2 linked regions of the Drosophila melanogaster genome follow. The protein of the gene in region 1 interacts with the protein of each later gene in a pairwise test. Each region holds a gene or a part of one and is shown on either strand. Other genes may lie near its edges. The genes, in order: Zcchc7 and DIP1.

Evidence for each region.
Region 2: the proteins of Zcchc7 (region 1) and DIP1 interact in a two-hybrid assay, tested with the Drosophila melanogaster proteins (one large-scale study listed by BioGRID).

The regions. Positions count from the first base shown.
Region 1 is NT_037436.4:16,843,667-16,847,592, forward strand, and holds the start of Zcchc7 (zinc finger CCHC-type containing 7), read left to right. Parts: upstream 1-1,719; 5' UTR 1,720-1,834; coding exon 1,835-1,843; intron 1,844-1,901; coding exon 1,902-2,223; intron 2,224-2,560; exon of another isoform or gene 2,561-2,630; coding exon of another isoform or gene 2,631-3,317; exon of another isoform or gene 3,318-3,334; intron 3,335-3,494; coding exon 3,495-3,926. Other genes in the region: TSG101 (tumor susceptibility gene 101), read left to right, coding at 1-64, 126-472, 541-727; kud (kuduk), read right to left, coding at 959-1,195; CG32161 (uncharacterized protein), read left to right, coding at 2,631-3,317.
Region 2 is NC_004354.4:21,628,250-21,632,175, reverse strand, and holds the start of DIP1 (DISCO interacting protein 1), read left to right. Parts: upstream 1-2,027; 5' UTR 2,028-2,139; coding exon 2,140-2,202; exon of another isoform or gene 2,203-3,272; coding exon of another isoform or gene 3,273-3,332; exon of another isoform or gene 3,333-3,421; coding exon 3,422-3,815; intron 3,816-3,926.

The sequences.
Region 1 (3,926 bases):
ATATCCGGCCTACCCGAATTTCATACAACCAACCGCCGGTGGGTACCCACCAGCTGCGGGATATGTAAGTTTTAGATTATTATCCAAAAATCGACTTCTTAATGTTTAAAGCTTATTCTTTTCAGAATCCCTCAAATCCCAGTTCCACGGGAACTATTACCGAGGAGCACATCAAAGCATCAATCATTAGCGCTATCGACGACAAGCTGCGCCGCCGAGTTCAGGAGAAAGTTAATCAGTATCAGGCCGAGATCGAAACTCTCAATCGCACCAAGCAGGAGTTGCTCGAGGGCAGTGCCAAGATCGATGCCATTATAGAGCGCCTCGAGCGCGAACATATTGATATGCAAAAGAACATAAGTATATTAAAGGACAAGGAGCAGGAGCTGGAAAAAGCTCTTGAAGATCTTGAGAGCGCCGAGGCCATTAACCCCGACGAGGCGGTGACCACCACAGCGCCACTTTACCGACAGTAAGTTGAATGTCTGCGTGCGCATTCCAAGATTCATGCTAGATAATTAATGGTTTATCCACCCGCAGGTTACTCAATGCCTATGCCGACGAAGCGGCCACCGAGGATGCCATATATTACTTGGGCGAGGGTCTCCGCGGAGGTGTCATCGATCTGGAGACCTTTCTTAAGCACGTGCGACAGCTATCCCGCAAACAATTCATCCTACGGGCCACCATGCAGAAGTGCAGACAAAAGGCCGGTCTAGCGGGCTAGAAGAGCCATGATTTCAACAGTTGCCGTGATTTCTTATTCGACGGGGTAGTGCGAGCACGTGCAGACGATTTATATGTTACCATCAAAAATATTCGATAAGTTTTAAGCGCAAATTGAATCTTAAAAATTGAAATTATAATAACAATAATCCTAAATAAAACAAAGGCCTCATGTATGTTAACGCCCACGATCAGATCTTCAGTTTATTTCTATGCGGAATGGTGTCTTATCTCATACGTAAATACCGACGGTTAGAAGCAGGAAAACAATGCCGAATCCCAGGAAAATGGAGGCGCACAGGCTAATCAGCAGTTCCTTTATCAAGGTGCTTTCCTTAGAGCTCTTTCGAGACACCACAAAGATGAAGAACCAGGCGGTGAAGAAGGTTCCGATGACCAAAAGCACGGTGGCGAGGTGGGGAAAAACGGCCGGGTTCACGGGCGATACGTAGCGCTGCATTACGTCCATACTAGAAATAAGATGATCCGGTTAAGCTATTAGTTTAACACACTTGCGGCACTCTTACATTGAATTTTAGCTTTAATTACTTCTTGTTATTTTTCGACGCGAATTGTACGTGGCCCGGCAGCTAGGGTTGCTCCTCTTGTTATCGTTATCGGAGGCACCCACAATTGACTGCCAGTTTACACGTATCGAAACGAGAAGTATCATAAATTTTTTTTTTTTGTAAATTTTTTTTTGGTTTTTTTTGGTTTTTTTGGTTTTTTTTTTGGTTTTTTGTAAATTTTAAATTTTAATTTAACATTTTGAGAGATAAAAAACTCGGAGTGGAAAATTATTCATTTTTATTTATAATGCCATAGTGAATAATTAAGTGTTAATTTTAAAACTTAAACCAAATTCGAACCGTTCGTTGATGTAAATTATTTATTTTTTGCCAGCTAGTAGAAGTACTGTTGTCAGATTTTTTAGTTTACTATTCGATAGCAACATTTTCCGATAGCCAGAGTGTCATCACTGCCTCGATTGACATGCTCTCTCCAGCTTGCCCACCACTGCCATCAACGTGCTCTCTTTCATTATATTACTTTTTATCAATGCGCAGGAAAAATAAATCAAAGGCAAAGGAAAACAAAGACGCGCAATATGAGTGATGTGAGTGTTGGCCCAAATACCCGTTATTCCTACCGATCTAATGCATTCCAATCCGCAGCTTGAGGAGATGGACAGCGAACGGCTGAACGAGCTAGAATCAATTCTATATGCCTCGATCCACTACAGCGATGGATTCGAAGAGCACACTGCCATGGATCAGCCTGCGAAGGAGTCAACCAGCGACCAGGATGCCAGGAGCATGCCACCGCCTCCTCAGCAGAAGCATCCCATTCCCGGACAGCGTTTCGTCAGCGGAACACGAGTGATCAACAACAGCATGCAGAAACCACGCTACTGGATCGATGGTGCGGCAGCTGTGGGGGAGGGGCAGGTGGTGCAGGCGGAGGAACAGCAGGCCACCACAAACAAAACAATGCCAGGTGAGTGGCAACCATTGGCAAATGGTATATATGAAGTAATAAAAACCATAAGCTAGCATAAAAATATACCCAAAAATGTACCCAAAAAAGGTAGGATCCAATAAGATCCAATATCTCACAAGTTATTAGGTAATTTAAATCATAGTAAATATAATCATATTTAATCGGTCGATTTGTAGCTATAACTGTTTAAAACTCAAAACAAAAAAAATTAAACGTGATTCATAATCTTAGGTATTCTTAGCTAGTTCATTTGTAGTCTTTTAGTTCCGCCCCATTTCATAGTAGTCAAGAACATTTCCTACTTCCATCAGTGGGGATCAGCCCAGCTTTTGGGCATTAGGCTGCTTTCATCCTTTTCAAAACTATTTCGTTGGCGTGCTTTCAAAATTCTCCATAACCTTCCAATGATGACCTGCTTCCTCAGTCGCTTTCTGGGCCTGGGCAGGTGCGGTCTGCAGGTGCTCGAAAGGCGGATGGGCCATTTCAACCATTGCACCTTGGCCCTGGCCACTCTCGACCTTGTCTGCATTGTTTGCCTGCTCCATTACCAACTGGCGCGGCATGGCCGAGATCTGTTTTTTTGGTGCGAGGAACTGGACCAACGACTAGTGGAGTACATGCTATCTGCAGTCGTATTGATGGCCAGCGTTAGTGTGCTGGGCTCGTGTGTGGATGGCTTTATCTTCTCTGCCTTGGTTCAGCGGAAAATGAGTCGGTTTGATATGCCGCGACAGTATTTTGAAGATCGTTACCGCAGATTCGTCTTCATGCGGCTGGTCAGGCAACTAGAGCAGGCTCTCAAAGTGCAGGCTAAGCAGTCTGAGTTGGGCGAAAGAATGATGACGCCACTCGCCAATCTGTTCGAGGCGCAGCAGCTGATCAAGGAGGCAATCGATGAGTTTCGCACAGCGGTGCGAGTCCTACTGTGGCCCAATCGATCCGATGTGCTGGCAGAGGCGTTTGTCCTCTTCCACATAAGCGAATCGCAGTTGTCGGATCTGACACTTCAAGGCTACAGGCTGAACGACGTCGAGGGGGAAGACATGTCCAATTCCCGTCTTAGTCAAATGCTTAACCCACTTTGGTATTAAAATTGGTGCTATAGTTCAGAAACTGCATTTTTAATTTGTCAATGAAAATGTTGGGTTGTATCAAAAGATTTGGTTTATTCTTAAGAATTTCTGCTAATTTGCTATTCACATTTATTCATATCGCCTATACAAATAAATATAAGAATCACATTTTAATTTATGGTTCTTGTCTCTTAGCTGTTGAAGAAAGTTCCTCATCACAATCGATGGATGTCGATATGCCGCAAGACAAGAGTCTATTGCTGTCGCCCGAAAAGGGAACGTCCAATCAACCGAAAACTGCTAGCCAGCCCCCGAAACATCAGCAAATCCCACAGGCCAAGCAACAGCAAAATATTCATGCAAAACAATTGCAAAATCAACAGGCAAAGCCTCAGGAGCAAAAAAATTCACAACAGAAACAGCAGCAGAGTCTTAAGCAACAAAATCAACAATCCAAGCAGCACCAAAATCAGCAAAAGAAGTCGGCGCCAGTAGTACAAAAACCAAAACCGCAGCCAAACGCATCCACCAAAGTGAATCACGAAGCCTACGAGGCGGAGCGTTTTGACCAGAGACTTCTAGTCGCCATCCCACCGAACTGCCCGCCCAAGAAGCAGAATAAGCCAC
Region 2 (3,926 bases), on another chromosome or scaffold:
AAGAAACAAACAAATTAACCGCAGAACTTTTTAACAGATTTAACTCACTGAAATTCTGAAACAGATTCCTTAATACCGTTGTGTTTTTGTTGTTATGTTTTTGTATATTATTATCCCTATTTAAATTATTTTCCTTTTTCGTTGTTGTTTCGCTTAGAATTTCTATTTCTTAGAATTCCTTTTTCTTGCGTCCATACCGAAACGTTTTCGAATTTAAACTAATTTGTGAACATTTCTTTCGAGAATTGTTTTAAATGCGCACGCGCCCGGCGTCATAAAGCAACTGAGAGAAATCAAAAGAAGACTCACGAAAGGAACCCACAAATCAAGTCTTCTGATATACACAAAACAAAATTCATGTATTTTCATGTCTTTTTGTTTAAAAATTGGTTTCTACATATTTCATTTTCAAATTCAAACTGGCACATGTGCGTATGTGCATATGTGGAAACGCGACTAAACAATTATATTTAAGATGTTATCTTTAAGTTTTCTCGTTGAGAACGTTGTTTTAATAGGTGCTATACAAATTTGACACTAGATTATTGTCAGTGTACGATTTTCCTATTCGTGGACACCGTATATTGATTTCGGTCATGCTCTTGTACCGCAGTGAAGAAAACTTTTGCGACAGTATTAGGTATTTTATTTGGCGTTTTATTTGGGTGGACCTCAGTTAAAAATATTGGACCACTTTATTTCAGATATTCCAATTTAAACATAGAAATATGGTTACCTTGTGGTTTTTATTTGATCCTGATTTGTTTTCGTCAATAGTTTTGTGACTTAAGCAGCGAAACATTAAATTACAATTACAATATAAAAGTTACAAAATACGCGGTAAGTCGTACTCTGATTTTGATTTTGATTTTCTGCAAGTGGGTTGGTATATGTGTGTATTGAGTTCCCTGTAAGTCCAGGATCACAAGACGAGTCGAGCTGTCCCATATTCTTTTTTCCGTCTGCCCAATCAGTGACCTTTGAAACCTCGCGAACCTTAAGGGACTATGCCTGTATGCCTATGCAGCGCAGTTTGACACTGCTTAAATATTCGTAAAAGAATAAAAACCTCGATTAATATATAAATATATAGCAAATATATTTGCAAAATATGATAAACTGACCTATTAATCCCAACACAGATAGTTAATTTTCATAAGTTCGCTTGCATTCCTATTGATGTGGTTGAGGAAACGCAAAACTCTTGTGAACACAGTGTGAACACCTATTCTATTTTTCGTTTATCCAAAACTGTCATTCCCACACTTTTGAAAAATATTCATTTTTTTAAATAAAATTTTTGTCTTGCAACTTTCTATAGATATGCAAAAATAATGTCGAAAATTTTCCGTCGCACTCCCACTATCTAAGTAACAGGTATCTTACCTTACTTTGAGCATTAGTATTTTTTTAATATATGCATAATATGAAAAACACACCTATTAATCCCAATGTAGATAGTTAATTCAGTTGATTTGGTGTTCATTTTTACAAAGTCGCATACTTTCCTATTGCTGTAGTTGAGGAAACGCAAAACTTTTGTTAACACAGTGTGAAAACATTTCCTGTTTTTTGTTGACGTTATAGATTTTGCCCACGCTGCAGACAGGCAAATTGTGTTTGCAAGTCATGAAAAGTCATGCGCTTATGGTTCGAGTTCTATACTATTTTCTTAATACATTTGAATGTCAGTCAGTCAAACAAAAATGTAGGGAATTACCATGCACACAATTTAACAGCTATAATATTCTCGCGATATACAGAAGTACTGTTTCAATTCTAAATTTTCGCAATAACTTTTAAGCACTTCCAAAGAGCATCGTCGTGCTATTTTTAGCATGCTTTTAATTATTTCACAATAAAATCTTTGGTCTGCTCTTTTTTTTCCGCCGTCTTTCCATCACTTTGCTTATATTACTATGGCCAGTGTGAAATGTCTATAATATATTTAATACTAAAAACGATTTTCGAAATATGTGAAAAATATCGATATATTTACATATATTTTGACATCCCTACTTAAGTTTTTTACTTCAGTGCAGTACGATTCTTTCTGTGACCTGAGCAGTGAAAAATTAAATTACAAAAGCGAAAAAGCGAATTACAAAAGTGAAAAATTAAATTACAAAAAAAATCAAGATGAAGCGAAATCGTCGTGCATTTGCTGGAAACAACAAGCCATTTGTCTTTGGAGGCATTTACGTAAGAATCTTAATTTTTTTTGCAAGTGTGTGCAGGAGTGTGAGTTAAGAATTCCCTGTGACGTCACGAAGATATGTATTCCGAGTGAAAATGCATCACGAAAACAAAAACCATTGTTGGAATCATCCATATTTGATTTGTGAAATAACAAAGTTTTCGTTTTTATTTCTATAATTTGCAGCGCACAAAGTGAAAGTGTTCATTCACAATTCACCACAATTGTGAACTCATTTGCAATAGCCACTAAAAGCGGGTTAATCGAAAGTGCAGACCGTTGTCCGAATTCCACCAGCATTCACAATGCACCCCCCAGACATCCACCACCTTCCCCTCTCCCCTTACATTCGTAACCCACCCATTTGCATTGCACTCATTCCACTCCGTTCGTGCTTTCGATCAACTAGATATGGCCAGCACTGCTATAGTTTCACGCTGGACTTGCGGTTATCGCTAACTTTTATGGCTACTGAAAATGCATTCACCCGAAACTGTAACTAAAATTATTAGTTTTGGGTCAGATAGCAATGCCCATTCACTCCACCGAAAGTGCCCGAAACGAGCCGGCGACCATGAACTCAGCCGATGACCGAAGGATCCCCATAACTATTGTTTCATGCTAAAATAGACAGAATTGTGAAACGTATAGGTCGATAGTCAATTATTTTACTCTATTTTTGCATATCGGAGAAAATTCTATTAGAATTAGAATTAGATTTTCTCGAACCTCTCTGCAAACAGAATACATTAGCGAAAAGTTAACTCACCATGAGACTGAATTTATTTGTTAACCGGACTTTGCGGTTTTTATGCCCATTGAATTAAAGAGACATTGGTTACCCTAATAGTGCAGTACACCTGATTTTCATAGATTAGCATAGACTACCTGGTCCCGGAGTCCTCGGCTGGATCCGATAAACGGAGATCCACAGTCGCTGGGCAGTTGGCTCCGTTGGTGCAGAGCTTCGTTTCGGGGCACTTGGGTCGCAGGAATGGCCATGGCTAGTTCCGGAACTATGGTTTTAAGTAGACCAGCCGACCACCCTGACGGTTCCGGGTAACTTGACGACTTGATGGTTTCCGTTGGCCAGCGAGTCGCTTTTTTGTCGACCCACTGGACCAGTCCGCTGCAAGTGATTTTGTCTAGGGTAGCCTGGCGAGCCAGGCGGAACCCGTTGCCTTCGCTAACTAATCGACTAATGAAACTCTTTCGCAAACGCAGAATCCCAATGCCACCGTCAAGCCTTTGATCCAAATGCCGTTGCAGGCCGCCAATGTCCAGGAGCAGCAGTCTTCTCCGGTGGCTTTATATCCGACATCGGCCTCCCCGGTGGCTGTTCAATCGCCACAGGACGCATTTTTGGCTGTTCAGTCGCCAGGGGCTCCTGCCCCCGTTCAACTGGCCAACTCGTCCGACCAGCAGAATAATCCGGATGCGGACGCCATTGCCTCCAAACTGCCCATGCCAGTTATCATCAAGGAGGAGCCGATCTCTGTCAACGATGAACCGTCCGTCGACAATATAGAGGACAATACCAGTGCCAGTACCAGTGCCAGCGGCATCGGGGGCAAGATCCCATTTAAAAAAATCTTCCAAAAGCGCAAGAAGTCGTCTGGTAAGCGAGGAAACCTTTGGTGATCAGATTTCCCAGAATTTTCACACGCTCACACAAAGCACTAGGTTTCTTATGGAAGGGCAGACCGGAAATTACTTACAGTTGTGTTGC